Lytechinus pictus: one gene and its partner. The protein of the gene in region 1 interacts with the protein of each later gene in a pairwise test. Links are inferred from orthologs where the notes say so. Each region holds a gene or a part of one and is shown in the gene's direction. Other genes may lie near its edges.

The links.
Region 2: the proteins of protein patched homolog 1-like (region 1) and E3 ubiquitin-protein ligase NEDD4-like interact in a two-hybrid assay, tested with the Drosophila melanogaster proteins (2 studies listed by BioGRID). The link is inferred for Lytechinus pictus from reciprocal best matches to the Drosophila melanogaster genes ptc and Nedd4.

What each region holds. Positions count from the first base shown.
Region 1 is NC_087255.1:6,103,930-6,116,011, forward strand, and holds the start of protein patched homolog 1-like, read left to right. Parts: upstream 1-7,601; 5' UTR 7,602-7,780; coding exon 7,781-7,791; intron 7,792-10,183; coding exon 10,184-10,253; intron 10,254-11,013; coding exon 11,014-11,111; intron 11,112-12,082. UniProt on the Drosophila melanogaster protein: Segmentation polarity protein. Acts as a receptor for the hedgehog protein (hh). Associates with the smoothened protein (SMO) to transduce the hedgehog signal leading to the activation of wingless, decapentaplegic and patched itself.
Region 2 is NC_087249.1:27,697,226-27,709,600, forward strand, and holds the start of E3 ubiquitin-protein ligase NEDD4-like, read left to right. Parts: upstream 1-7,039; 5' UTR 7,040-7,129; coding exon 7,130-7,162; intron 7,163-11,000; coding exon 11,001-11,086; intron 11,087-12,375. Other genes in the region: 5-formyltetrahydrofolate cyclo-ligase-like, read right to left, coding at 1-39, 3,761-3,871. UniProt on the Drosophila melanogaster protein: Essential E3 ubiquitin-protein ligase which accepts ubiquitin from an E2 ubiquitin-conjugating enzyme in the form of a thioester and then directly transfers the ubiquitin to targeted substrates.

The sequences.
Region 1 (12,082 bases):
GACCCCCACCCTCTCTGCTCAACCTGCCCACCCCCATGGGACACAATAGGATGTTCTGGCATTGGCATCTGGTAGTCATGACTAGAGGGGCACCAGAAGGCTATAAAGTATGGCCTCTGCCAAGTTTATTTTCTTAGGGGTGCTGCATTTGAGCTTATTCACCATAACTGTGTTCACATGTGCCAGTGAACTTGTCGTGTACTCCCGAAAATTTGATTCAAATTCCACAAGCTGGGCTTTAGGCAGTCGCCTTTACTCTTGTAGGCCTTAAAAAAAACCTCTGAATATTACAATATTTTTATGATGACGATTTATGGTGGTACAGGTGATGATGATGATGAATTGATGATAATGATGATGTTGATGGTGGTGGACGGCGGTGGTGGTGGTGGTGGTAGTGGATGAGATGATGATGAGGATGATTATGACGATGATGATCATGGTGGTGGTGGTAGTGTTGATGATGAAGAAGATGATGATGATTATGATGATGGTCTTGGTGATGATGATGATGATGGTCTTGATGATGTGATGATGATGATGATGATTATGATGAAGCTGGAGAAATTTGATGATAGTGATGATGGTACGAGTCTATTGAAGAAAAATCATGGCTATGGTGATGTTGACGGTGTTGATGGCGATTATGATGAATACATTTTTTAATGGGGGAAGGGGAGGGGAAGAAACAATGTTAAATGGTCTATGATATTGATTCCATGGTGAACGGTTGTATTACTTGATAATAATATGAATTCTTGGTGCGTTTAACCCCTTGCACTTCCCCTGACATCTTGCCTAATGTGAACATGCCCACTCCCCTTCTTGAACACTGTTTATCCATGAGTGGCCCTGTCAAACAATGCTGGTGTTTTCTGATTGAAGGGAAATGTGATGAATTAGTTTTGTTTATCTCAATACAGCAGATTGGTAGAAGATGGCATCCAAATAATGTATTGTAGAATAGTGCCAAGCTGCCATCATCGATCTTGGACGAAAAGGAAAAAATATGGCCCAAAATCTATAGAATTTTTTGAGAAAAGGTGGAGTTTTGAATACATTGACTCAGTCAAAGATTACCAGTCAAAGATCTATTTCATAAAAGGTAACTGGACTAGTTTAAATTTCAAATCAAAGGATTCATCGTTGGGTGAAAAAGATAAATTCTTCATTCATGTTTCTCCAACGATACCACACAGTGCCCTTGCTGTGTTACTTTTACGGTATTGTTGTAGAAATATGAATAACTTATCATTCATTTAGTGTAACATTCATTTTGGGGAATCTCATTTTCACCTGAATTATTAGGTGCCATGTGAATGTTCAGTTGTACTAGCCTATTTTTCTGTGTGAAATAGTAAGTAAATGATAGTTCTTTTTTATAACATTCTATTAAATGTATTTCCAAGTTCACATTTGTACTTGAGTAGTTGAGTTTATACTTGGCTTTAGATTTCTGCCATTTGACTTCAGCTTCTTTTGTATGGTTTGAAGCCAAGATTCAATATAGCCAGGAGTTGATAGAAGAAGAAGTGACCAAAAAATTGTCATGAATACATTAAGATTGATCATCAGGATAGCCAATAGGCATTATTTTATTAATAAAATGTCATCGATTGTCACCAAAAAATGACCGTGCAAGGGTAAAATCCTTTTCGTTCAGCATTCATTTCACTTTGTTTGGAAATTAACTCCCATGTTTCCTGGAGGAGAGGCTAGACTTGAAGTGAACATTTTGTTTGGAGGTCATCAGTTCCATCTGAGACAAAAACAACAGTTTTTTTGAAGAACATAATCCCATTCGGGTGCAATGTAATCCAGTTTTCTTCCACTCAACTTGCTACTTTAATACAAGAAAACATAAACATGGGACATGGTCCAAAGAAAAGAAAAGAAAAAAAGTATATAAAACGTTAGAATGTAGCCCCCCCCTCTCTCTTGCCACCATGTTTTCTTAAATTTTTTTAAAATGCTTGAGTCGTTTGTAAAAGAACTTTTTCGAAGGTTGCCACAAAGTGATAAAACTACATGTGTATGTATGTAGATTCGAGGTGTAATGGTCTTGTAATTTTAAAGTTGTTTATTGTGAAGTACATGAAATAATGCGAAAATTAGTATAGTAAGGTAAAGAAAAAATATTTGCAACCAAATCTAAGTATAATATGTAGGTGAATGGACGAAATGGCAATAAGACCATGTGGATAGGAAATGGCAATAAGACCATGTGGATAGTGGACGAACTGATGGTAGACCAAATGATTATAGACTAGATAGATGGTAATTGGACAAATTGGCATTAGACCAGTTGAAAATAAACCATTTATTACAATGTATTGGCCTACAAAATCCAACAGGCGAGCCGCAAGCTTTTCACTTTTCCACAAATTCCAGCCAGCCCCCTCTCCTGGCCCTCTCTCTGCTGTGCCTATGGGGTTTGAATCATTACAATTATTGTCGAAACAGACCCATTCACAAACTGGTATGAAGCCCGGCCTACACACTTGCACACTAGCCGTTACATAACTGAGTATATAGTGGAGAACGGTGGCCTCGACCCTTTGATCTAGCCAAAAGGGCAGTCTTCAATGCACATTCCTGTTTGAGTAAATAAAATAAAGAGAATTTGCTCTTCTGTCAGATTTGTAATTTAAAGTGAAAACTTTCTGAATTCTCTGCCTCTTTGCTCAATAATGTAACTAAACTAACTAACTTTCAAGAATATTACTTTTCTCCACCTCGAATTACTCACTGTCTTGCCAATATCATTCATATAAATTGTACACTTTCAATTTTTTTTTAAATACATGTTCATTTCTCGTTTTTAGTACAGCTTTTCTGTACATTTCTATTTTAACTGTTGAAATGAGCTGGCTATAGGCAAATTGGGGACTCAACCGAATTTGCCTTGTTTTTTACCATAGTGTTTCACCCACCTCCCTCAAAACGTCAACAACTTTTTTTTTATAAGAAGAACCCCTCCCTCTTGTGTTTGCGGAGAAGATGACCAAGCAGTCTTATGGAATGTGATGTCAGAGAATGAGGTGTCTTGCATCTTTTGTTCTGTAGACCCCTTTCACAATCTGCCTCTCTGTTCGTCCCATTCATTCGCCCTGAATTCCCCTTGTCTGCTATTCACTCTGCCATTCAGGGGTGCACTATAGCCCCTCTTTCAGACCACCTCTGCCCCCCTTTATAACGGTTTGTAATAATTGTAGGACTGGGTTTGTTAGGTCTGCTGGCATTGGATATTACAGTCATTGGCTCTCGGACCACAGCCCACTTTCAGTCCACTTCTGTAACTCTTCCCCCCTTTAATATAATGGTTTGTACTCAGTAGTTCAGGGCCTCTTTGCATAAAAGTTACTATTATCGTAACTTTGCAATCCTATGGTAACTACCATGGTAACAACGATCAACAGCCAATCAAAATCAAAGATTTTATGAAAGATACCATTGGATGACAAAGTTACTAAAATGGTTACTTGAATGCAACAAGACCCTTTGCCAGTTGCATCCATACTTTACACTGGCTCTCGGACCTCGGCCCACTTTCAGTCCACTTCTGTCATTCTGTACTCCTTTGCTTTATAAAAGTTTGTAGATCCGCTACCTGCAGTTGGATACATATTGAAGTGGCACTTGGACCATGGCCACTTTTTAGACCAGATCTAGTAATGGTTCGTATCTTCGTATATCTGTTGCTAGCCAACTTAAAATAATAAGCCAAGCATATACAGTGAATCTTGCTACATATGTTTTTGACTCACCTGCATAGCAGAGCGAGACTGTAGGCGTTGTTTTCTGACGGCGGCAGCAACGGAGTCAAGATTGAAATTTTAACCAAGGTTAAACTAAGTTTTTTAAATGTCATCGTAACTGAAATTATTTGGATTATTCATGAAACTTGGAAAAGGGGTGATCTAGTGTCACTGATTATCTTACATGACTGAATTCATAAGTCATTTTAGGGTCAATGAACTTTGACCATGTGGGGGTTCAACATTGAAATCTGAACCAAAGGTCCAAGGTTAAGTTATTGAAATGTCATCACTTTATAGGGATCTAGTTCATAAAACTTGGACATAAAGAGTATTTAAGTATCACATATCATCAGCATGAGTTTTAGGTCACATGATTGAGGTCAAAGAAGGGTCAATGAACTTTGACCATGTTGGGGTATTTTTTTTGAATGTCAGAACTTCTAAAATTTATGGATCTATTTCATGAAACTTGAACATAAGGGTAATCAAGCTTCACTGATTATTATGCACAATTTTCAGGTAACATGATGAAGGCCAAATGTCATTTAAGGTCAATGAACTCTTGACCATGTCGTGGTATCAATCAAGGTTAACTTTTTTTGAAATGTTATAACTTTTAAAAACAGTGGATCTATCGTATGAAACTTGGTCATATGGACAATCAAGCATCACTGATCATTTTGCATAAATAAGTTTTACATTACATAATCAAGGTCAAAGGTCATTAGGGTCAATGAAAGATGGTGTTTTTTATAATAGAAAAATGAAAGCCTGATAAGTGACAATGAGTGTAAACAATGTAGAGGACAGTCGATTGTTGACCTAAATTATTATAAAACCTGCAAGCAAATAGTGATTTATGCTGAGTATTGTTATAAGCTACTGAAATCGTCACATCTGATTGGCTCAGAACAAATTTGTCTGTGAAAATCCCTGATTTACTTGCTCCATGAAACACTCCCTAACTCTCTGAGACTGGGTGGCAAAGGACAGTCAAGAGTTTTAGCTTCATTCTGTGCTCCAGAAACGATCATCCAAACTCGCCAAAGACATTTGATGAATCTTTCTTTCCTCATGGACAACCACGCATCACTTTCAGCAGTACACATCTTGGAGTTGCCCATCAATCCTTGTTGTTTATCTTACATTTACACCCGTTTTCCATTCCTTGCCCGAATAAGATTATGTAAGATTTGTTCTGCTGACAGCCAAGCAACTATGGAGTTAACATTAGAGGTAACACCCCCATTGATTTTTCTCAGAGAGGATTTCCCATATTGAACGGAGATCGATTCTAAGGGGCTTCTCTGAGCCCCTCCGACAATGGCCCCTGCATTCATCCGTATTTGTGTTTCCCTCTTTAATTGACACGGTAATTATTTGCTCCCTAGGCCGAGTGAGCTCTTCTGCTTGGCCATTGTAAGAGGGCCTATTATGTCCCCCTCCAGCCCCCTATCATTGAATGGCTCTCTCTGGTCGGGCGAAGGCTTGATTACAGTCATTGGTCACTCCTGATCTAGGTAGGTGGTCAGTTTGTATTGACCAGAAGTGAGAAAGTGAAATGAGTTTTCTTCCTCAGAATTCACACCTCAAAACACTCGGACCCCGTTCAGAATTGGATTCTAGAACAGATCTGTGCTTGACAGTAATGTGATTCGGGTCTTTATTAGGAAGACCACTTGTTGTTCCAGGAAACCATTCCTGTGACCCATTTCATAAAGACTAATTTCTATGTCATCAGCCAATCAAATTGAATGATTTCAGTAGCTTTAAACTGTTATTGCAAACTTGTCATTTTAACAAGTTTTATGAAACAGGCCCCTGGAATGCTTTACCTTGTTGCCTGTTTCATGATGTAATATGGCCAGAAACCATTTCTGGGGCTGCATTGCATAAGATGTTGCTATTACGGCAACTTTTTTAATCGCCATCCAATGTTAACTGGCATGGGATCCCTGATTTTAATTCACTATTCAGTCTTGTTACCATAGCTGTAGTTACCATTGGATTGCAAAATTTTAGCCCATATTAATGTTTAGAGTTTTTAAACTGCATGAAAGGGTTCTGTTTAATAGTCAGGCGGATCCGGATTTTCCAAGGGGGGGGGGCACATTTTTCTGAGGAAAATTTGACAAGCAAAAAAAAAAGATAAAAAAGGTCTTCACTTGTGTATGAAAGACATTCCTGTTAAAAAATATATTCTGTGACTTTTAAAGGGGGGCCCCTTTCACACCTGTGTGAAAACTGAAAACAACATATTTACAATAATTTTTTTTATTATGACCCTCAAAAGAGGGGGGGGGGGGGCACGGCCAGATGTGGCCCCCCTGGATCCGCCACTACAGATGGTGATAGTGATGAAGATACATCTGAATATAAACCTTTTAGCCAGGACCTCAGATAGTATTAAGCCTTATTTTTGTAGACCAGCTCATTACATAGATGGGGGAACAGGTTGTGAAAGTTTGTGTAAATTTTGATCAAGGAAGCATCTCACAAAGTCGTCTAATGATTGTCACGTCTTTGCAAAATTCCCTTACATTTAAAACCAAAAGAAATGTATCTTTCTCCATTTTTATTCATATTACAACTCTATTCATATTTACTACGGATATGTTTCTGTGATGCATGATGTATCTCATGTGGAGAATCAATTTCTGTTTGACTCACAAACGAGATGAAGATACAATTCAGATCAGAGAAGACCTTACAATGTAGGCCTAGACCTCACCTCTTTTTTACCAGTGTTTACCACTTTTGATTATTATTATCAAGGATATATTATTTTATTGGTTTTATTTAGGATATTTCAGATGTCAAAACCTGTTTTAATGCAATCAATCATAGAAATGAAGGTATGACCAATCAATTAGCTTCAAACTACCAGGGTGATCTTATTGCTTTAACTTTCACCACCAGACCTCAATTGTACACTTGTGAACCTGTTGTTTAAAACCATGCACCAACATGGGTTGACAGTCTCTTGGAATAGTGCATAATTGCTTGGTGTATAATTCTATTCCATTTTGATGTAGTCCTACGACTGCAGACTCCACAAGGAGTGTGGGTGCCCTTGACCCATTCCTGGACTAAGGATTACATTAGATAGTCCAGGACCTTGGCCCCTGTGGGTCACTTGGTTCATTCATTGGAGGGTTGATTTGTGGGCTTCACCGGGGAGGTCCGGGACCTTGGATGTCAACTCCCCTATCCTCACTCTCAGTTTTGATGAACTTGATGGCTTGCAGTGCTTGAAAATACCAGTTGTTATACTAGTTGTTGTTTAGGTGTAATGACTTTTATCGCTCAGGATTATTATTTATGCCGAATGGTTGTGTTATTATCATTATTAGAATGTCCATTTTGATTTGATGGATGTTAGTGGAGTTTGGTCTTTGAAACTGACTTCAGAGGTTTCTGTTTTTCTCGATTCATATTATTTAATTATCTATTCAAATTTGTTTATTTAAGCCTGTCTTATCATTTATGTTTTGTTTATTCATTAAGTTTTATTATATATAGATTTTGTTTATTGTTATTTATTTATTCATTTTTTTTGGGGGGAGGGGGTAGTTTCAATTTTTTCAATCACCAGCAAAATTTAATTCCTATCTTCTGGGTATATTTATTAATAAATGGGGGGGGGGATGGTTGACATAGTGTTCATGAAGTGTTGTATAAATTACTTTGGAGTCTCACCTTTTTCCTATGTTTTATAGACCGATCAATTCCAAATGATTATAGGGTATGAATGTTATGGTAGAAAATATATTGTATTGTAACTTTGGATCATGTGCATTGTTTTTCATTAAATTTTTCTCTCTTTTTTCATTTGTGCAGTTGGAGGGAGGTTAGAGCAGGAATTGGAGTACACAGAAGCAACGTTGGGAGCGGGCTGGGGTGCAACAAGCCAAATAATCGTGCAAACGCCAAAGAAAGATGGGGAAAACATCCTTACACAATCGGCCTTACTGCAACATGTCAGGTCGGCCGTTCTTGCGACGCAAGTTGAAGTCGACATGTACGGAGTGTAAGTAGCACATTTTGTTATTTGTTGGTCCTTAGAACGAAAGTTAAGGTTTAAATCGATAGGACCTATATTCTGTAGGCCTAGCTTATGGAAAATGCATTCAAGTTATTATTTTGATTTGTGATATTCACTTTCATTTTCATTCTTTCATTTATTATTTGATTCATTCATCCATTCATCCATCTATTCATTTATCTATCCATCCCATTCATCCATTCCTGAAAATTGTATAGCCTACGTGTAGATGTTCCTGTGTGTTTTGGTGACACTTGCAGCATCAAAGCCTATAGGCTATGTTCTGAAATTCTGAAATTTTACAATTTTGTGTGAAGAATCATTAGATAATTTTACATGCCATGTAACTGACAATCGCATGAATTGTAATAAGAAAAAAGTCTGTGATAATGCCTAATGGACTAAGTTTTGATGTTTGACCCCCAAGGCCCCCCCCCCCCCATCGCCCCCTCCTTCAGCACACCCACCTACTTCCTACCCACATCCTCACCATACCGGAGCAAGACAGGGGTAATAGAGTCGCCCCATGGTAAATAGCTGGCTGGGTTAGACGGGCACTTTGATCCTTGTGGTGGCCCAACCAACAGGCAGGCACTAACTCAATTACGGTGGATGAAATTCTCTAGGATTGTACCCCACTAATAGAACCAAGACTAGTCAAATACTTTTGCGGAGTGGTTATGATATCACATGCCTGTATTTACAGAGGTCATTTTGATGTTGGTTTGTGCAATTGTGCTCCATATTTATGCAATGTATAGGCCTACATGTTTAGTAGGTGCTCCCTCACCCATGATACAAAAAATGATGTTATCCATGTAGTTAGAAACCCATTAAAGATTGAAGATAAGTTATTTGGATGTGATGAAATCAACAATGTAGAATAAGTTTTTGAAACTTTTGAGTACATTAGCTGATGGTAAATTTCTTGAATTAAAAAGAGTGAAATACATGTAACTGTTTAAATCAATCATGAAAAGTACTCACAGTTTTATAATGTTTACTGTTTTAAGTTAACATAAACCTAATAGTACCAAGTAATATAATTCAACTGCAAACTTTATTTTGATGTGAAGTCATGAAAGTGAAATGAAGTAATGATAATAACAAAAATACTTGTATTTAAGAGACGCCAGTCACATTTGTATCATAGCCTTTGCAAAAAGTTACATTGAATGCAGTAGAAGATAATATTAACATAATAATAAAACCATGCAACGAAAATACATCAATCATGCATCTAAGAAATTTGTCACTCGTGCTTAGTGCCCCTCAGACTCTTGGCTCTTGATGTCAGGCTGCTGGAGTTGTGGTCAATCCAATCAACACCTTCCAAGGGAAGAACTGCTTGGAATTGTTTGGGGGCAAGCATAGATCATGATAGATGATAATGCTAATGTGATGTTCCAGATGGGTGTCATATTGAAGGAGTCGGTGACGTCCAGTATCACGTTTCAAAACAGAGAACACCCAGAATGCTACTCGTGTTCCATCACTGATGCCATCAGTTATCTCTTTTCCTTTCTCTTGCTCTCTCTCTATGACACTGTTCTCACTACCTTACTACAACTAGTTTACTGGAAACTAGTTTAACGTGTAATGAGAACGGTCGAAGCGATCTTCCAAACCGGTTCATAAAACCATCTCGCGATGTAGATTTCAAGATTGCTTTGCCTCGTTAAGCTGGTTTTAGCGTAAGTGAGGATGCAAGCGTTCTTCTGGTAGCGATCTTTGCACATTTTGAGCGCGCTACTCATGACAGGTGTAGAATGCCTATGCTGCGGTTTCGAATTTCGCGCGAAACATGTCACCCCACTGAGAGCGTTTCCATATCAACAAGATCGCTTTATGTGAAGTGATTTTGAAAACCGCTTTTGGGTGATCAAATGGGAACGCTAGCAAAGCGATCTTCCAAACTGGTTTCCCAAACCGGTTTCCAGTAAACTAGATTTAGAAAGCGGAATGGGAACGGTGTCTTTTTCTAACTCCCTATAAAGATCTTTCTAATTACTATTGCCATTTCTTTCTCTCTCTCTCTCTCTCTGAAGCCCCTCTTACAATAGGTGGTGCAACTGCTTACAACCGGTGCTATTGTTTGCATCATATATCATGACCAAATGATCGCAAGAGCAATTGTGAAAGCCCCTACTCTCCTGCTCTTACTCTCTATTTTCTTTCTCTTTCTCTAGCTTTCACTTTCTCATGCTCTCAAGTTTGGGATTGAATTTATTTAAATTGATTGGGTAGCTCTGAAATATTATCTGAAGACCACCAATACAACACCCTGTTCACATTCGAGCACTATTGCCAAAAAAAAAGTATTGTGCATTTTCATTTAATTGCAATGTTTCTCTTCTTTCTTTTGTTTTATTTGCAGTACATGGAGTTTTAAAGATGTATGTTTCATAACAGAGTATCCTAGCTTTGAAGACCATTTAATAGATAGTGTGAGTATTTGATTACAATATTCTAGAAATATGATATAATTTTTTTTTATCATGAATTTCGAAGAATTGTTCTCAAATTTATTTAAAGAAATATCAATCTTGCTTCATTAAATTTGCTTTGGTCACTCTTCATTTGCAGTGATTACAAAAGTTTTTATCTCAGGCAATTAGGGTTTACATGGAGACAAGACTGCATTATATTGTTGAATTGATATCTCTGGATTCTGTTGCATTGAAATAAAAAAACAAAAACTATTGATAGCAGGGCTGGATCCATATCACAAAACTAAGCATTGATTTATGTATTTACTGTTTGACCACATCCTGCACACCCTATGTCAGCGAACTTTGAAATTTAACCTTACTAGGTGATCTGTCAATCGACAGATCAACTATTAATTTCGTACGAATTTTCTTTTTTATTTCTTTCTTTATTTATTTATTATTTATTTTTATTTTTCCGCCCTTTTCTTGTTGCCATAAAATCTCAAAATCTACATCATCAATTATCTTCAAAATATCATCAGATATGGGGACTTATCCTGTCATCTGTATGAAACCAGTTCAAGGTCAAAAGGTCATCGTGACGCCATTTTGTAAATTCACATTATCAATCATATCTTCATTATCAATTATCAAAAATTAACTATATTTTTATAATATTCTTTATAGCCTACGTACAACCACAACATTGTACGATCCTTTAATGTTCCGCCTCTTATTTTATGTATTTCAAATGTTCTTTTTTTGGTATCTACAGATTATAGAGAACATTATTCCTTGTACAATAATCACGCCATTGGACTGCTTCTGGGAAGGAGCCAAGCTACTTGGGCCTGAAAGGCCTATTCAAATACCGTAAGTACCTCCTATATTATTTTTGTGGGTGCCTCCTATATTACATTATACTCGTTGGTGCATCATGGTCTAATGGTTCTGACTCTCCCCTTTGAAACAGAGGGTCGCGTGGGTTCGAATCCTAGCCATGGCATGTTTTCTTTCAGCCAGAAATTTATCCACACTGTGCTGCACTCGACCCAGGTGAGATGAATGGGTACCCGGCAGGACTAATTCCTTGCATGCACTGAGCGCCGGTGATGGTAGCTCGAGCTAAAGCCGGGGTAATAATAGCAGCGCTTTGTATCCTCAGGCTAAAAGCGCTTTATAAATCCAGCTATTTTTATTATTATTATTACAAGAAAATGAATAAATGTATGATCATATAAATAACTTTTTAAAGTCATGTAATATGCAGAGGTGGTATGGCTCAGTGGATACGCAGCCGGACTATGAATCGCATTGTTCAGGGTTCAAATCCCATTTTAGCCCTTGCATCATTTGACAAGGTGTGTTTCAAAATTTCCCACTCTGATGTTTCCCCTTTATTTGACTGATTTTGTTGTTTGGCCTATTATCATCATGTACAGTTGTGCTCCAAAGTTAGTGAACCCCACCACAAAATGCACTCCTTCATGCCGAGTGTTGAATGCCGACAACAACACTACAATGTTCAGCGAGCCAAGAGAAACAAACTTCATTAGATGTAATATTTTATCACCTGACTTCAAAACCCACGATTAAATATCTAAAACATGGCCGAGGTGGGGTTCACTAACTTTTGAGCACCACTGCATATATGTCTCGATACGTTTCCCTATTTGTTTTGTGAACTTGGATGATACAGTAAGCAAAGTTTGTGATAAAACTGTCATTTGCCTTAGTGCCCTTATCCACGTTAAATTTTTGTGTGAAGGGTTTATTATTGCATTGGAAATGTTCCAGGGCCCCGTCTTACAATCAATCGTAACTCTATGGAAATCCATCAGTGT
Region 2 (12,375 bases), on another chromosome or scaffold:
TATCCGCTGACTTTTCTGGTAGGCAGGGTGTGACATTAGCTGCATCGAAGATCATAAGTGCAAGATGTATCAACAAAAGTAAAGTTAAATTACAATGTATTCCAGCAGTCAAAATAATAATTTAGTCTGTGGTCAACCACCAGAGTGATTAAAAGTAAATGAGCTCAGCTAGATTATACAGACCCTCTGTAGTATACTAGTATACTCACAATGATGGTGAGTTCATGGCCGAAGTAGGGGGGTTGAAATCTTACATATTTTACTTAGACTTTTCACAAAATTCACCAAAAAAGTGCACAAAATCCTTCAAACGATTTTTTTTTAAGAAAATGCCAAAGTGCCCCCCATGGCAAGCTTGGTCACTCCACATAAGGCCCACTTTCGAAAACTTTTCATATAATTCATTCTCCCTATTGCAAATGAAATCACTCTAAAATGTGTCCTTGCAGTGTTTTGCTCTCATTATTTCATAACATAGGGAAAATAACATGAAAAGTTGTACTTAGATATCAGGTAAAGTACATCTATGTAATCTTATGTATCTAATGTGGTGGGAGGGGGATTTCTTTAAAGAATGTCATTCATTGAGTCAAAAATACATGAATTTCCAAATAGTCTAGATGCTTCTTCTTCTAGTGTGAGTAGTGCTTCATCCAATCGAAACTCCTCAATACATTCTGAGGAGTGCAGGCACAGTGCTGCCTTGAATATGAGGAAAACACTACTACTAGCGACATGGAAATTGAGACTAGGGCTGAGGTTAATGGTGAAAATAGTAAATTATACTTGATTATCATCTAACATTCCAATCGTAAATGTGAAGTGATCACTGAATCTTTCTCTGGGGGTCCAGAACATTCAATGTGCAGTGTTTTAATTTAACTTTTGTCTGACATGGTGTAAAGGCTTGGTCTGATGGTAGATTTAATGGCAGCGGGGGAAGGCATAATATCAAGTTTGGCTAAAAAATCAAGCCCTTAGCATATCCCCTAGATCAACATAATGTCGAGGCAACAAATTGTTGGCACACAAGTTAGGGCACTTTTGCATCTGGCGATGAAATTTCAGTCACATGGAGCATCTTTTTCTTCTTCTTACTACTTAGAATACTTAGGGAATATGCTGAACAAAATCATTTTGACTCTGTATTCAGTTCCAAATTCCTTCTTCTTCTTCTTCTCCTTCTTCTTCCTCTTCTTCCTCAGCTGATCCCGGAGATCTACAGACGCTAACGTTGGCGAAGGACAATAAGAAACAAGATGGCGGCGTAAACATCGAGCAAGTTTCCCCGTCTTTTCATAATATTTTTCTTGTTCTTTTACTGAATTTTTGTTTAAAACTGACTGAAATCGATATCGTAGAAATGTCGGGGATCTTCATGAAAATATACCACATTTACATGATTTAGGGCTAGATCTTTTAGAAAGAAAGTAAAAATCACAGCATGCTCGGGGCGAAAGTTCCTGTTTTTTCGCAGTACACACACATGAATGGGACGCAATCCCTGGCTCCGTGGAGAGTAAGCCTACGTTAGTAAATGATTTTTACTCTCCAGGAACCTCCTGATTGATCTGATGGATCATTGTTTACTTTCAAACTGTCAACATGGATTTTCTCCAAATTGGTCCTGTATGACACAGCTCTTATGTGCAATGGAAGAAATGACACACACACTTAATGCTGGAATTCCTATTGATGTCATTTATTTAGACTTTTGTAAAGCAATTGACTCTGTTCCTCATGAGAGGCTTCTCAAGAAATTAACGTCATATGGTAGTATAGTTGGAAAATTACATGCTTGGATAAGAGCCTTTGTAACAGGAAGGGAACAGAGAGTGACTATCAACGGTGAAAGTTCTGATTGGAGTCAAGTACCTTGGTAAGCAGCGGCATTTCGCAGGGGAGCGTGTTAGGACCCATTCTCTTTGTCATCTTTATAAATGATTTACCTAATATTTTGGACAATTCTGTGTATATTTTTGCCGACGATACCAAAATCATCAATGATGTCAGCTCTGATGTTAAACAAAAGACTCTTCAAGCTGATCTTACTCATGCTGTCGAATGGAGTGAAACCTGGCAACTCAAGTTTTCAAAATGCAAGGTTCTACATATTGGAAAGACCAATTCAAGAAGTGTTTATACTATGAATGGAGATGAATTAGAACCATGTAAGCAGGAGAAAGATCTCAGTTTTATTATGGATGAAGAGCTCAATTTTCGCCAACATGTCTCAGCAGCTGTTTTGAAAGCTAACCAAATACTTCTTCTTCTTCTTCTTCTGGAAACAGTACAGTCCACCGTCTGGTGTATTGTCGTACTGGTGAAGTGCAGCGTGCAAGTGTATGTACATTATTCGATAAAAAATTGCTTACAGCGTGCAAGTAAAAGCAACCACCGTTATTAACGGAGCTGGGTCTTTTGTACCTCTTGTTTAAAGATGTGTAGAGAGGTACAATTAACTGTGCTGTTGGGGAGGGAGTTCCAAAGTCTGGAATAGTACACAGAACCTTTTCTCAAATAACCCCTGAAATATTGTTTGTATCTCTGATTCGACCTCATCTGGAATATGGGAACATTTTATGGCATGTGAGATTTAAAATGGATGCAGACAAAGTAGAGAAGGTGCAAAGGAGAGCTACTCGCATGATTCCTGGTCTCCAGAGCTTACCGTATGAGCAACGTCTAGAGAGACTAAACCTTCACTCACTGTTTTACAGAAGACGAAGAGGAGATGATTACTGTTTACAAACTGTTAAATGGAAAGTTTGGGATCTCGAGTGACACATTCTTCACACCAGTAATCCATTCATCAACTAGAGGTCACAAGTTCAAGCTTTTCACAGGACGATCTCGGCTGGAACTTAGGAGTAAATTTTTTAGTCAAAGAGTAATTTCTGACTGGAACAAAGTGCCGACAGAAGTAGTGGAAGCTAAATCAGTGGAAATGTTTAAACATCTGTTGGATAAATTTTGGTGGGGGGAAAGATTTAAAACCTCCATTTCTCAACGCACGTAAAGTCTCACAAGTTTAAACTGTCTAGATAATGGTCAACCACCGGAAGTAAAGATCGGAAAACCTACAGGAGAAGTCTTTCATTTCCTAGACAGGAATAACCGTCGTTTCTGGGGATTTATCTAACAATTTCTGACATTTTACTAATACTATCATGAGCCATCATAGTTCAGCGGAACAACCAACATTTCAGAGACTGAAGCTTTTGGTCTATTCATTTCCGTACCTGATGTGATGTGATGGTATTGATCGGCCATTTTGTTTTTAATTTTGACAGAAGGAAAACGAACGAGACGGAACTTTTCCTTTTTTAGAGGGTCCAGTTTGTGCCTCGATGTCAAGATAGCTGTGTCATGACACTCATCCTACGAACGATAGCCAATATGATAGACCTTCATCCATATAATCGAGGTAAATGCATAATTTATTTTTCCCCTTTTAATTATTTGAAGTGCTATTCCGACCCCATTTTGGAGAGTATATGTTTGAATAGTATTACACGGACGACTCTCTGGGTTAGGAGAGTCGTTGCACGTTGCCGTTGGAAAATAAATTCAGACAAACATTGACATGATAATAGTCAATACAACATGTATAATGGCATAGACGTGTCTTATATTAATTAAAGTTGACATGAATTGCAGCATCTGGGACCGAAAATTAAAATGCGTCGTCTGCTACAATCTCAGGTAAAATATTTGTCTTTTCCCTACAGAATTGAACATGATTTATCGGTTCACTAACCTTTTTTGTTATGTAAAGAGACTGCCTGACCTTCTCTGGCTCAGAAAGAGCTTTCAGTCTCTTCTTTAGCTCTTGTCGAAGAAGGTTTTTCGCTTGATGGACAGCCTCCATGACTCTAAACCGGATGTAACTCAGAAAAGTGCATGATGGGATCGTTAAAACATGTAGATGGCGCTAGACCAATGTGGTGCGAACTGAATTAACTTTGATAAATAAAAATCTGGGTGCAAATATATATATATTATATATATATATATATATATATATACCTGTTGAAACGTCTGCTACGAACTTGCTCTGCTATATGGCCTGAACAAGCGGGCTTCTCATTTTTACAGAATGTAGGCATATGTCATTCTATAAAGTTTTCTAAAAAACTTCAAATTGAGCTTTGGTGCTAAAGCTTCTCCTTCTCCCTTCACCATGTTCGCAAGCAGGCTCCTGGATTGTGCCGGGCTGAAATCATTCAACAGTATATTATTCCCACTTGACACGTCCATTTTTATTCACAAACTTTAAATGGTAGAAGTTTGACTTTCCTCGCTTTGCGAGAGAAGGGGAAACAAAAATCAGGCTTTTTGCGAAAACACAATGCTATAGCTATAGACCTATTCCTCAAAATAGAATTTTCTTACCTTTTGAATTACAATCACATGAAGGTTGGATTTTTATGAAATATAACTTTACCAACAAAAAATGATGAAGCTTCATTTGGGATATATATATACATATAGCTTTTACACAACAGATTGATTTAACGCAGTTCCGTAACTACCAAATTTTAGGGTGTACACTAAGCACAGGGGCCGCTGAACGGTTTTCAAAGTGGGGGGGCTGACCATGCTAAAAATCACAATCATATGGTCATTTTTACGTTTTTGTACACGGTTCCGCGGCCCCTGATTAGCAAATGTGGGAAAATTTGTAAAAAGTCGCCAGCGAGCCAAGTGATCGAGCCAGAAGAAAATTGGCCTTTTGAAATGAAATTCTAATTATGTGATAGATTTTTACATTAATTTCAGGAAATAACATATCATCATTGTTTTCCATTCATTTCATTTTGTTTTATTGCCTTCTTTACTTTCTTTTATTTCCCCTTGGCTGTTGAACCAAGAACCCCGCATGCAGGAATTAAGAGTCCTTAAAGGGATGGTCCGGGCTGAAAGTATTTATTGCTTAATAAATAGAGTAGAATTCACTGAGCAAAATGCTGGACATTTCATCGAAATCGGATTACAAATAACAAAGTTATTGAATTTTAAAGTTTAGCAATATTTTGTGAAAACAGTCATCATGAGTCACATCCACACTTGTTCTTTTGTATTTTATAATATGAAATTAGGTTTATTCAAATTTTTTCCTCCAAGAACTAGAAAAATTGGATTGACAACTGATTTAGTGCATTAGATATTTATTGCTGCAACTTATTTAATTATCACTCTAAAAAATGTTTACCCAATATTGGGTAAAATGGGAACATGCATGTTGGTTGGGTAAAAAGATACCCAGTATGGTGTCAATTTAACGCAATGTTGCGTTGAAATAGCCCAATATGGGGTAAAAAAAATACCCAGCAAACATGCATGTTCCCTTTCTACCTAATAGTGGGTAAAATTTTACTCAGTGTTTTTAGAGTGATATAAGGGAGACATGTTATTCACACAAGTATGAATTAATGAAAAAATTATGATTTTATGTAATAACATAAGAAAACGGAAAGTGGAGATGTGACATCATCAGCCCACCTAATGAATATTCATGACGACTGTTTTCGCAAAATATTGCTAAAATTTAAACTTCAATAACTTTATTATTTGTTATCCAATTTTGATGAAATTTTCGGCATTTTGCTCAGTAAATTCTACTTTATGTATTAAGATATAAATATTTTCAGCCCGGACCATCCCTTTGATAGAGCCATTTTAAGGTAGATGAACTAGTTTGTACGGTATAACCCTTGCCATGCATGCAGTGTAAAGCTTTATTACGGTAGGGTCATAGGCCCTATCACGTAATAAGGGGATGTGTACGTCTAGCCCTTGGGATTTTTTGTCCTGATTGCGACCTTATTGTATAAAATTTAGCAAGCTAATATAATAATACAATGTTCCTTCACTTCCCGCTTTTTTTTTCTTTTTCAAGATTTTTTTATTTCTCAACTCATTCCATACATAGGTATCACATGCACAGATACAACATAATAAAAAAAAAATAGCACACATTTCAAACAAATTCAAATAAATGGTTCATTTTGTATACAAAATATCTTTTGTTCGATGCACGTTTATCAAATTACGTTTAAAAGCAATAATTCTCTCAGTTGTTTCGATTTTTTTCCAAACCAAGCATAAATTAAATGAGTAAAAGTGGGTTTGATACATGAATAGATGACATATTTTGCAAACAACACAATGATATTGGTATAAGATGAAAGTTATTGAGGGTTATAACTCCAAAAATGTCAATGTCACTGAAATATGTACTTCTAATATGCTTGGCCTTCAACCACTCGTGAACTTCGTACCAAAATGAAATTACATATTCACATCTAAGAAATAGATGAACAATTGTTTGAACGTGGTTTTCACAGAAATTACATAAAGGAGAATCTTTTACTCCAATTTTAAATAAAAAATCTTGTATTGAAATTCTTCTGTAAATAAATTTAAATTGGAAGTTTTTAATTTCCCGATGAAATCCACCAGTTGGGGAGCCCGCCAATTGTGATTTTTTGCATGGTCAGCCCATCCCCCATCCCCCCCCCCCCCCCCACTTTGCTGCCCCCGGGGCTGCCCCGGGCCCCTGATGCGGGCCCTGATGCATGCCCTGCATGCCCGTTGATAGATCCGGTATACGGATCCATATCCGTATGAATCCTATCTGGAGAAGTGAAATTTGTCAATATATACATATTTAATTGGCTTATTAAGACAGTTTTTTGAACAATTGTCCTAGTTGATAAAGTCACTCTTACGTATACATGTGGAAATCTACAAAAGTTTTACAGTTTGTATGAATCATCGTATTTCGTAATAAATTCTTCTCGCCCGGGTTAGCCTTACCTACAGACTGAAAAAGAATGAAGGAAAAACTAGAACTGATATAGGCTTATTCATGCGCTTGTGTAATAATCTTATTTCAGTTATTTAATATTTTAGTCTTATTTTTTTCTCCACGGATTCCACCGGTTTCTTTCTGTCTGGTCAATACCCCCCGCCCCCCCCCTCCAAAAAAAAATAATTCTCGCCCGATATCGTTGAGGGCGCAATTCATCGAGTTATTTATAGAATCGACGAAGGCGAGGGTGGGAACGGAAAAGTTTATTGTCAAAAATATTGACAACATACTTACCAGAAATACTATTTGTACATGGCAACAATATATGGTCTCCCCGAAATGCAGGTGAGTTCACGATGTACTGAATAAGTTGATTGATATGACTTTTTGTAGTAAAATTCAAATTTTTTTATGAGTCCTCGCCAGAAATTCCGGTAGGCCTACTCTCGTCGATTATGCTTCCCTGCCGCTGCCCCCGCCGTACCGCTCACGGGTTTAACTGCCGACCGCTCTGGCTGATATTCATGCCAAAACTGGTGTAACGTTAGGCCTAACTTTAGTTAGAGTAGACTACGCCGTGTACACTGTAGGCCCTGCGTGGAATGTTGCAGGATCAGTGTGGATGTGCATGGTATGGTGAAGATCATTTAGCAGGGTTTGCCGGCCATTCCGTGCGTTTGGGAACTGGTCAACAAATCGAATTTATATTATAAAAAATTATTTCACCACGATATGTAAAGAAACTTTGGCGATTTTGAAAGTAATTGATGCGAAAGGCTTTGTAGTTTGTTTACGATGTGAAGCTCCTCACACAACTGGTTCCCTCTTTCCTCATGCAATATTTATGATCGGGCTCAGATTGCCATGGGTGGACAAGTTTCAAGACCACTCTGCCACTTTCACAATGTTGACCAAAAAATTATTACAAAATCGATTCATTAAATAAATCACAAGATATACCGGTAGGCTATATATTATGGGGATGAATCACTTTAAACTCTGTATAATCATATTGAATGAATTTCTGATCGCGTTAAGAGGGGGCATCTGTGTCCTTTGGACACGTCAAATTTCTAGTCCTTCCTAAATCTCTTATAGATTTTATGTTAGATAATTCTTGATAAACCTCCATATTTTTTTTTTCAATTTAGTGGAGGCTGGAGGGGACATATGAAACTGGAAGTCTTGCCCAATAGTCTAAGGGTTAAAGTGAAAAAGGGCAGCAGTTTCAGAACTTCTAGATCTAGATCCAATTGATTTTTGTTAGGCTTAGACTAGACTTTAACTTTATCTAGATCTAGGCCTAGATCTACATGTAGTTTAGACTGAGGCTGAGACCACTCAAGGTTCCAACTCAGGTGTCGTGCACAGGAAAGTGCAAGGCATAACACCCGTGAAACTTCCATGGAATATTTTATTATGTAGACATTAGTCAGATTAGACATCCCTAGTGAAATAATTTTTTGCTATGCCGCCCTCTATATGCATCTTGTAGCTTAGTTACTAACAGAGATAAGATGTGAAAAAATTCCCATTTCTACCACATATATACTGTAGTTTAAAGTCGAGTAGGGGGTGCTTGATATAAAATCATTTTCATTAAAATGAAACATGATCACAGAAACTATTCAATATATTATTTATTTCTTCATTACTTCCACTAATCTTGAATCTATAATTTGTTCTTTCTGTCTGTTTTTCCTTTTTTTTTTCTCTAGATCTATTCCCTTTTTTCTTTTCTTTTTTGTTTGTTTAAGGCCTATCTTTTTATTCTTTTGCATTTATTTTTATTTTCATTTTCTCTTTTATTTTGAGGGCTTTTTATTCTACTTTCTCTTCTCAATAGTTTTTTCTCTTCTATATATCCGTTTTTTTCTTTGTTATTGTTCTCCTTATTCTTTCGTTTCTTCTTTTCATCTGTTTCAATTGTTTTTTTTTTTCTCTTTCTCTATTTTTTTTTTTTTAGATCTCCTTGCTGTAGAAGTTTATTTTGAAGACAAAGAATTGACTGTTTTTATTTCCTTTGACTTTACGATTTGTTTTTTCTCACCACTTTATTTGCCTCCTTTATCTATCTCATGCTTAACATTAATATCTGATTACTTCTCATTCCTTTTACATCACCATCCCTTCATCTCCTGCTTTGCATTCCTTACACAATAGGCCTACTATTTGCAATGATCTTTTGTCCCTTCATGTTCATTTCATGGTTCAGTTAGCCTGCAGTTACTGTCTTTGCTGTTATGCTGAACACAAGCGATACGTCTGATGTGGCAAAGACTACAAACTATGGATGCAAAGCATCCACCGCCTATAGACACCCGTCTTGATTTGGATTTTGTTTTTTAATATTGACAATGAAATAACGCTGGTTTTTCGTACGAAAAATTCTCATGCATATGTTAAGCCATGATGTCACTTTCTTCATCCAAAATGGCGAGTACGAGTACACGTGAAAAACTTCTATGAGAAAGTTTGGATTATGGAGCTGACAAATTTGGCATGCCTAGTTAAAGTAGTTATTGATGACGGGAGGATATATTTGTCGCTTTACCAACAGGATATAGAAAAAGCGCTATCTACCAGGCAATCCCTCTGTGTTATGATTATCTTCGCAATCACGTCTTTTATGATGGAGATGTCTTAATTGTTGACACATGACCAGGAATACAGGTACCGGTTCCGGTACCACAACATGTCAAATGACAAGATCATGGGAAGTACGAATTAATAATCGTTAATTTGACAACGTCATGTCTCTCAAATATACTTGAAGACTATAGTTTAGCAAAATATTTAATCTTTTATTTTAATGGTTGTTAAAAAAAATATAAAACATTGTTTTGCAGACGTTGAGTTTATGTATCCCTATCTCCTGATTTGTTTTACCCCCATTAAGTAATGGACGAGCAGAATCTTTTTCTTTGCAACTTCATGTATCTGATGGTTGAACGTAACTTTGGTAAGCCATATTAGGCGTGGTTGTGGAATTATCCATAAATTCGTCATTTTGAATAAACTTGAATATTTGTTAGGGTGTCTATAGGCAGTGGATGCTTCGCATCCACAATTCGTAGTCTTTGCCACATCAGACATATCGCTTGCGTTCAGCAGATTAGCAAAGACAATAACTGCAGCCTCCGCTTTAGATTATAGGCTATGGTTCAGTTGATTTACATTGAAAGGTTTAGCCTATATGATTATTTAGTGAAACTTACCCTTATTCATAGAAACTCATTTAAATTTGTTGTAAACTCATTTATTTTCATATAATTTCTTTTATATGCAAACTTTCTTATTTGAATATTTAATATTTACAAATTATTGTTAAACAAAGAAATAAGCCCGCAGATTGAGATATTAAGTACACCTCCGCCAGGCAGATTATCACAGGCAAGCAAAGAGTGAACATTTGTATATTATTTAACTCTGTAGGGACATACCACACCTAGGTGACCACATAACAACTACCCTGCCCACAACCTTTACAAGCAAAAAAATCACTCTTGGACTCCACCTTGATGCAGCCAGGGGGGGGGGGGGGGACAACATTTTTAATACACTTTTCTATTGTCTCCTTTAAACAAAAATGCTGGGGGATGCTGGATCTACCACTGGAGGATACCATAACACATTGTCAGAACAGATGATCCATGCATCACTGAATAGAATTTTACTGGGTCTTTTTTTTTGCATGCAGTGAGTTCCAGTAATGAAACTAGGAAAACTCTCAATTATGATAATGTAGATCAAGGAATTGTGATAGGACTCTGAGCAGCTAGCAAGTAAAAGTTGTTGTAAAATCTTACCTTTTTTTTAGGCAAAGATGGCAAGGAGTCAAGACTACATTTTTTTTTAATGAGATAAGCTTCATTCACAAAATTGGTACATTTTAACATTTAATATTAGGCGTACTACTCCTCAAGTATTCTAGTTCTAGGGAATTGTAAGTTTCTGTTGGACCTTATCATGCATACCTTTTTCATGGGGTAGTCCCGGACATGTGATGCTTGTGATGAAGAGAGTCAAAGAGAATAAAATTAGGTTGCATTATTGAGGGGACAATTGGGGTTTGTCCTTACATCCTCTTTGAATCAGAAAAATAATAGATTTTGATTTGGTTGTGTGTTCCATGACACATTGCTCATCTCTATTTTGTTTTGTGTTTGTCTTTTTTATACAGGGGGAGGCCCCTGGAACTACCCGGATCTTGAAAGTGAGAGTTATAGAAGGAAAAGACCTGGCTAAGAAGGATATATTTGGTGCAAGGTATGTTTGAATAGATTCTCATCATGCATCACGTTCCTAGGAATCCTCCAAGTACTGTTGATTAGTTAGTGGTACATGTAGATGTGTATGGTTTATGAAATAAAACATGATTTAAAATATTGTAAGCCAGTCCAGGATGGGAATGAAATATGAATGCCAGTTATACTTACATTTGTAATATTAACCCATCTGTTTATGTGGTGAGTGCTGAGAAGCATTCATCGTAAGTTATTTTAAATTTGTGAATCATCTGTGTGTGTGTGTGTGTGTGTATAATGTGCTCTAAAGAAAACTCACAAATACTATTGGTATTATACACATAATACTGTATATTATACATGTACATGTATGTACATACTACATAAATACATGGATTGTTCTAACATTTTGATGCCTCAACAAGAAATGATCTAATTTGCTCTTATATATTAAAGTATAATAGGCTACCAACATGTACATGAATGTTCAGAAGCAAAGATCTTTGTGCATGAAATCTTTAATGAATGTCCATATGTTTCAAGAGTGTGGTAGAAAAAGAAATTGACAATGTTACCAGTGTTAATTTGAAAAAACTAAAATTTCTCCTGATGGATTTGACAAAAATACAGCTCTAGCTGAAATTGAGAGATGAGAGTTTGAGAGGGAGAGATTGAAACTAGGTGAAGGTCTGTGAAGATAGAGACTATTCTTTGACTGATCAATAATTTGTGAAGTCTCAGTGAATTCGAATTGGTAGGCCTGCCTGGCTGGGTTTGAGGAGAGAGAGTATCGCTGTTGTGACTTTTTTTTTTTTTATCACCTTTATTCAAAACAAAGCAAATGGAAATTACAAACAACGAAAATAAGTCCAGGTTACTCGGTTTTTTAGGACGAAGTACAGGTCTAATATAAGAATTACAATACAGATACACAATATATAACATATCACAATCAAATTTACATAAAACGATTATACATTGGTGATTGCAGAAAAGAAAATTGAAATAGATCAAGCACACACCCTTACAACTGAAATGAAGAGAGGATAGAGGGGAGATAGAAAGAGTGAACTTGATGAAGAGAGATAGGAGGAAGAAAAAGTGTGACGAGTGAAAAGAAGGGGAAACAGGATAAAAGGATAAGACAGAGAAGGAGAAAGAAGAAAAAGAGGAATATTTGAAGCCAAAACAACAACCTATATGCTGTTAGAAGTAAGAACGCTTATAAAGAATAATGCATTTTCATCGCTTAAACTGGGAATGCAACCCAAATAAAAACTTGTTTTTAGAGGAAAAGGAAAAATCAGACAA